Callithrix jacchus: one gene and its partner. The protein of the gene in region 2 interacts with the protein of the main gene of each other region in a biochemical or structural test. Links are inferred from orthologs where the notes say so. Each region holds a gene or a part of one and is shown on either strand. Other genes may lie near its edges.

The links.
Region 1: the proteins of NSF (region 2) and NAPA form a complex in vitro, tested with the Homo sapiens proteins (2 studies listed by BioGRID). The link is inferred for Callithrix jacchus from reciprocal best matches to the Homo sapiens genes NSF and NAPA.

Annotation. Positions count from the first base shown.
Region 1 is NC_133523.1:41,452,695-41,456,768, forward strand, and holds the start of NAPA (alpha-soluble NSF attachment protein), read right to left. Parts: upstream 2,882-4,074; 5' UTR 2,731-2,881; coding exon 2,633-2,730; intron 348-2,632; exon of another isoform or gene 232-347; intron 1-231. UniProt on the Homo sapiens protein: Required for vesicular transport between the endoplasmic reticulum and the Golgi apparatus. Together with GNA12 promotes CDH5 localization to plasma membrane.
Region 2 is NC_133506.1:86,216,785-86,220,428, forward strand, and holds part of NSF (vesicle-fusing ATPase), read right to left. Parts: intron 2,922-3,644; coding exon 2,787-2,921; intron 1,242-2,786; coding exon 1,128-1,241; intron 1-1,127.

The sequences.
Region 1 (4,074 bases), on a different chromosome or scaffold from region 2:
GTCCCTCTGGATTTCAGTTCCCCGTCTTTCCAGGCAGAACGTCTCCTCACGCTAGACCTCGGCAGCACCATCCCTGCTGCCTAGAGCACCCTCCCCGGCCCCACTCCCTTAGCAAGTCCTGGGCGTTCCCTGGGGCCTAGCTCACTCCTCACCAGAAGCCTCCATGCAGCTCCCGCTGCTTCCTCTCAGCTCAGCCATTCACACGGATGACATAATCGAGGCCTTCCTTACCGTAATTCTGCTTTACTAGTGTTTGGTGTTCATCTTGCCTTCCCAACCAGGTAGCAAGTGCCCTGGGGCTGACTTAGCTGCTCCCTCCAAGCACACGGTCCAGTACCCACCAATCCCTGGGCCAAAGGGAACAGACACTCAGAGCCACCCAGGAAAACCATCACCAAAAACCCAGCTCGTGGTCCCACCCCCAAACACAGCACTTGAACTTCTCCCCTTATGAAGAAAACACACACATACCCCCTCTCCCTCCTCTCAGCCTCTAAAAGAAAACATTTTTCACCTAATCAATATGGTCCATCAGCCCCGGATGTTTCCCCACACCAGGCAATTCCCGGTCATGTTCTTCAAGTTCTTTTGCTAAACATTATCCAACCTCAAACAAGGGGCGAGGCCCAGAGCCTTTTCCCGTTCTTTCCTCTCTTGGAAAGATCCCTCCACTTCGTGTCTTACCAGCCTCTGCCAGCTTCCTACCATGGTCTCCTCCGATCCCCAGGCCCTCCCCCCAACCCCCTTCTCCAGCCTTCTGCAGACGCTCCCAGTCCTACCACCTTCCCCAGGCTCTGCTTCTGAGTGGCTACCACACATCATCCTCTCTACAAGCCCACTAGTCCTTTCCCAAGCCTCCTCTCTGTTCCCACAGCCTCCCCTTGATCCTTTCAGGACCCCCCATCAGCGCAGATCTCACTCCCCACCTCCCACCCCCTGCCAAACCCTCCCCAGCTCCCTTCTACTTCCTCTGCCCAGAGTCTCATGTGCCTCTCCACCCTATTAAGTCCTCCTGGGTCCCTCTTGTGTTTTATTTCAGCTCCTCTTAGCAAACTCATGCTTCTCCATCTCTCCCTCTTCTGACCCCTCCCAGACCTCTCCGCTCACACTAACTTTGAACCCCTCATCCCTCTGCACGCTCCAAATCTGTTCCTTCTGGAAAGTCACATTAACAACAGCTAACATGTTCAGAGACGTTAACTCCATGCCAGGCTCAATCCTAATACAGCAAATCGCAGGTAGGTTTGGTTCGAGGTCTCCTTTAATGGGGAGACTGAACAATTTACCCAAGGTCATGAAGTGGCAGAGCCACATTTCAAACCTGGCCTCTTGACACTCCTAAGCCACTAGAATTTCTCAGAGGATGGCTGTGTCGCTTTTAGGAGCGAATGCGAGTTTTATGCCATGCCATATGCATTAGTTCTGTCTCCCAAGCCTCTTCCCATCCGTCTTCTCACCATGTCCCTGTCATCATCATCACCATTACTTGAGGATCACACAGCAGGCCTCTGATCCCCCGTTTTGGTTCTTTCTGTCCCTCTGTCTCGCCCTGTTACCCCTCCATCTCCTTGGCCAAGCCACCACCATGTGTTCCCCCACCCAGGAGTCTTTAGCCTCAACCCAGGCCTCCTCAGTCTTTTTGTTTTTCTTTGACATGGAGTCAGTCTCGTACTGTCACGCAGGCTGGAGTGCAACGGTGTGATGTCGGTTCACTGCAACCTCTGCCGTCTGGGTTCAAGTGATTCTCCTGCATCAGCCTCCCGAGTAGCTGGGATAACAGGCACCAGCCACCAGGCCCAGCTAGTTTTTGTATTTTTAGCAGAGAAGGGTTTTCACTACGTTGGTCAGGCTGGTCTCCAACTCCTGACCTCAGTGATTTGCCCACCTCGGCTTCCCAAAGTATTGGGACCTCCTCACTCTTGGCTCCATCATGCGGGTTCCCTGGTTCAGCTGTCTTTAGTCACTGCTAACCAGGGCCGGACTCAACCTAGGCACCCCCCAACACACACTTCAGATGTGTTTCACCACTCCTAGGATCACCAAATTCCCGAGACCCTCCGTCTGGTGTCAGCCTCCTTCAGCCATCACCCTTACTGCCCAGGACCCCCCACAAATCCACTGCCCTGGGGGACTGGAAAGGTCAGTCCCTCGGGCAGGGCGTCCTCAGTCCCAGGACCCATCACGCCGCCTGAGAGCCTTCAGACAGATGCCCCTAGAGCTCCGAAAGGCCTCCGACCTGCCTACTCTCCCGGATTCCCTCCGTCCCCCCCAGGCCAGTCCCCTCCAAAGCTTCAGGACGTATTCCCTCGGTCCAGGTTCTCCCTCGGCCCCCTGGCCTGTCTTTGGCCTGAGTCCCCTTTCTCGCCTCAAGACAGTGTCGCCTTGGCCCGTGTGTCCTCAGCCCATGTCCCTTCCGCCATGTCAGACCGTCTCTCTTCAAACCGTGTTGCCCCGGCCCGAGCCCTTGGCCCTCAGTCTGTGTCCCCTCTGCCGCCTCAGACCATATCACCTCATTCCAGGTTCCTCTCCGTCCCCTCGGCCCGAGCCCTGCGTGCCTAACCCGCCGCCTCCGGCCGTGACTCCTTCGTCCTCTCACCCTAGGTCCCGGCCGACCCCTGAGCCCGGTTCTCACCCAAAGAGGCCGGAGAAGAAGGACTGCGAGTTCTTCACTTTGCGCTCCGCCTCGGCCAACAGCGCCATCGCCTCCGCTTCCTTCCCGGAATTGTCCATGGCGACTACAAAGAGACTCAACAAGGCGCTCAACCCCGACCCTGGGAGGACTCAGCCGCGGCCGGGCCGCGGAAAACAGGTCGGGAAAGCTCGACCTGCTGCGTTGACGTCGCACCGGTGCGCGCTGCTGCAGCCCGGAACCACGTGACTCGCGCTGGCCAACCAGCGGCCTCGTAGCGCGGCGCCCGCTCCGGCGACCACGCCCCAACCTGCCGCACGCCGCCAGTGACTCAAGACCCCCCAATTGGCGTCCCGAGACCTCAACGCATGCGCACACACCCGCGAACGGTGCCCCTGCGGAAGGCAACGGCGGAAGGCAATGGCAGTTCGCACCGCCGAGGCCCCGCCCCACGGTGCTGAAGCTGAATCCTCCTTCACCAATCAGCAGAAGCCCTCGACTCGCGTTGTGCGCCCCCCGCCGCGGAAGTCCGGCGCAGTCAGCTGACCGCGGACACTCACGTGACAGCTCGGGGTCCACGCCCGGATTTGACGGCTCTGCGCAGAGCTTAGTCCCGCCCCCTCGGTTAGTTTCGCGGGTTTCTTCACTGGGAAAGCCGTTTGGAGGAAAAGGAAACAGGACTACTTTTTTTTTTTGCTCCCTCTCCCGGCCAATACTGGAACTGCTTCGGGGAGACCAGTGAAGTAGTTCAGAGACGGGAAACAAAAACTTTAGAGATCCTTTAACTCTCTGGCTTCAGAAAAAGTAGCTGAAGAGGGCCGGGCGCGGTGGGTCACGCCTGTAATCCCAGCACTTTGGGAGGCCGAGGCGGGCGGATCACTTCAGCCAGGCCAACATGTCAAAGCCCTGTCTCTACTAAAATACAAATAGGAGCCCAGCATGGTGGTGCACGCCTGTAATCCTGGCTACTCGGGAGGCTGAGGCAGGAGAATCACTTGAACTGTGGAGGCAGAGGTTGCAGTGAGCCGAGATCGCGCCACTGCGCTCTAACCTGGACGACAGAGTGAGACTTCGTCCCAAAAAATAAATAAATAGGCCAGGCGCGGGGGCTCAGGCCTATAATCCCAGCATTTTGGGAGTCCAAGGTGGGTGGATCACGAGGTTAGGAAATCGAGACTATCCTGGCTAATCACGGTGAAACCCCATCTCTACTAAAAATACAAAAAATTAGCTGGGCGTGGTGCTCAGGAGGCTGACGCAGGAGAGTCGTTTCAACCCGGGAGGCAAACGTTGCAGTGAACCGAGATCGTGCCACTGCACTCCAGCTTGGGAGACAGAGTGAGACTCTGCCTCACAAAACAAAAACAAAGAAGGGTTTTTACTTCCGGGACCTTCCAATCTAAGCATAAAAAAAACACTCTAGACAAATTCCAGTTGAGCCACAT
Region 2 (3,644 bases):
CATATACCTGTGACCCCAGCACTTTGGGAGTCTTAGGCAGATGGATCACTTGAGCTCAGGAGTTCAAGACCAGCCTGGGCAGCATAGTGAAACCATGTCTCTACAAAAAATGCAAAAGTTAGTTAAGTGTGGTAGCATGTGACTGCAGTCCCAGCTACTTGGGAGACTGAGGTGAAAGGATCACTTGAGACTGGGAGGTTCAAGCTGCAATAAGCCGTGATCATGCCACTGCACTCCAGCCTGGGAGACAGAGCAAGACCCTGTCTCAAAATAATAATAATAATAACAATAAAAGTTTACTGAGCACCCTACTAAGTGTTGGCTTGTTCCAGGGGCTGTAGACTCAATAGTGAGAGCCAAGGTCTTTGAACTCATAGGATTTGATAGGGAGAGATTTATCAGCTAAATTGTATGTCAGATAAGGACAAGAAGACACAGGATGGGCACATGGAGGGGTGGAGTTCCAAAAAGAGGAAAGGTACATTGCCAGGAGACATGAGAAAGTCCCAAAGAAGTTTCATCTGTCTTTGCCCAGGCAGCAGCCTGGGGCTCAGTTTTCTACGTGATCCTAGATGCTTCAACCTACAGTAGTTTGCATGAAATTTCTAGGAGCCCAGCCAGGGAAATATACACAGAGCCCAAGTCTAGACTGCACAACTTAATTAACTTGTCCCTTAAAACAGTCTCCCAGACATCTTTTGGTGTATGTGTGGTCGCTTACTGACTTCTGAGGTACAACACCATCCCTTCTCCATCAATAACCTGGCGATGTGATCTTGGAGAATTCACTGACAACCTGTCACACACATAGTATCCTCATCTCCAAAATGAGGAGGCAGCACAAACACTGCTCTTTGAAGTCTTTTCTAGTTCTAAGATCTAGTGGCTCCCTAAATTAAAATTAACTTTATGATCTTTCCTTCTATTGTTGAATTTTAAGAAGTTAAAAAGTATTTATAAGTGATCAATCTCAGAAGCAGGTTGGTAATACCAAATCAAGTTGGGAAATAATATAAGAAAATTATAACTTCAATTAACTAAAACCTTGGCAAAGGAAATACTGAACGCTCTTGGTGTATCCTGAAGCTCTGTTCTGTCTGAGTCATGTGGAGAAGGAAGTACCTTACCTGTAAGGACATCTCGATCAACATTAGTAACTTCTTGATTCCTATCCAGACCTTCTTCCCTTTGACTTGCTGTGCAATTGTGGTGCGCTCCTTATCCTTGAAGTTGCCCAAAAGCTACAAAAACAATAATCAAAGCACTTTTACAATAAATGCATCAACAAGGGTTAATTCTATTTACTTTTAAAAGAAGAGTGATAAGAACTACCTAACTGTTAAAATCCAGTCTGACCTTCCTAAACCCATTAGGGTCAATCATAAAAGTGAAACTGGTATCTTAAACCCTGTTTTCTTATGGACCTCCATTCTAACTTAGAGATATATATGCTGGGGTAAAAACAGCTCCAATCCATAATAAGTATGTTAAAATTTTTAACATTCTTTTCTAGGAACAATCTGTATGTGTCAAAGCAAACTACCTTTAATTCTCTTACCCGGCTCCTGCACAAAAGTTGCCTAAACAGGTAATCCGAAAACGTTTATCATATAGATACATTTCTATTTTTGTTGGGGTCCTTGAGGACTTTAAGAAGCCTTACTGACTCTACCACTGCTGAATAACTCAGCAGATAGTATTTGCCAATAGAGCTCACCAAGTCATTTGTGAATACTGGTATTAAAAAATTAAATGAAGAATATTAAAAGAAATAACTGTCATTTTCAAAAAATTAAGAAAACATTCCTATTTCTAAACTTGTTATTTTTTACTTCTATAGCTTTTTTTTGACAATTCTAAGGCTTTAATCATTGTTCCAATTTACCAAATGCAAGGAAATGCACCGAAAGCTGCGCTGAATGATTAATTTCTCTATACTGTGATCGCCTCACCCCCACACCGCCACCCACTCAAGTTTCTGGTCCAAGTAATCTACATGCATCACTCATGCTGGACACAGAGCAATCCACTCCTGGCATTTTGTAGGCTGCCCACCCCGAGGAATGGGAAATTAATTCACTGTCATGTGTCCTCTCATTCCTGAAAACAACTGGAGGTATGGGTTGAGTATCCCTAATCCAAAAAATCTGAAGTCTAAAATGCTGCAAAGTTGTAAACTTTTTGAGTGCCAACATGCCATTCAAAGGAAATGCTCACTGAAGCATTTCAGATGTCCAGATTAGAGATGCTCAACCTAAATATAATGCAATATTCCAAAATCTGAAAAAATCTGAAATTTAAAACACTTGTGGTCCTTGGCACTTTTTGTTGTTGTTGTTAGACAGAGTCTTGCTCTCCTGCCCAGGCTGGAGTGCAGTGGCACAATCTCGGCTCACTGCAACCTCTGCTTCCCAGGTTCAAGCGATTCTCCTGCTTCAGCTCCTTGAGTAGCTGGGAATACGGGTGCCCACCACCATGCCCGGCTAATTTTTGTATTTTAGTAGAGACAAGGTTTCATTATGTTGGCCAGGCTGGTCTCAGACTCCTGACCTCAAGTGATCCACCTGCCTTGGCCTCCCAAAGTGCTGGGATTATAGGTGTGAGCCACCACGCCCAGCCTAGTTCCAGGCATTTTGGATAAGGGATACACAATCTGTAATATCCCTGGGTCCCATGTTCTAGATTAGTGTAAAAACCAAACACCAGGTGTAATGACTGTGATACAGCTCAATTCAGCCTCAATTTCTTTCTTATAAACAGTGTGCAATGTATTGACTCATTTTCACCTCCAAAGCTTCCAATAGCTGCTCTCCGGTGGCAATGTTGGGCACATGAATGGTGGTGCTGAAAGCATTAAGCATTTCCATCTCCTGAAGGACATCTTTGCGGCTTGTGGTCCCAATGATAAGAAGCTTCCGGCCCTGATCAAAGGGAGAAATGTTAAAATGTATATAATAAGACTAATTAGGAAACTAGAATAAGCTTGAACAAAGTTTGCAAAAGCCATTTATTTAATCTTGCAAATGCAAATGATTAGGCAAAAGAGAACAAAACAGCTCAGGATTTTCCTGAAAATTCTGAGTAAAGGTACCAACAACATGATTCAGAAAGTGGCAACATGCGAACAGCTCCTTCTCATTCATGTCAATAAAACAATGGATTAGCAAATCAGGGAGATACACAAACCAAAGGGCAAGATACTGACATGTATGTAGGTAAGTCTTTCATGAGACATGGCACATGTATGGTGGGAATTGGGGAAAAAAGATGACATGAATAGAAAGTATGTGGCGCTGGCTTCATTAGTACACTTTTCAGGAGGGCAGGGCAATAATAGTTGATGTTTATGCAACGCTTAACTGTGAAAGGTGTCGGCTAAAGTGTTTTCCATAATTGTCACATTTTATATTTTTCATTTTTTACTTTTAACCCTGAAATATTAAAAAAAAAAGTTTTAAAACTATGCCAGGCTTATGCTACCCATTTGCAGTTCCCTTTGTCCAAAGGCAACAATTTTCAACTCTCTTAGCTTTTCTTCTTATAGTTACTTCTTTATCTTTAAATGATAAGGTTACATTACTAGTTTTAGACTTCTGTTTTCCCTATAAATATGATTTACTAACTTCCTACTATGGAAGATGGGA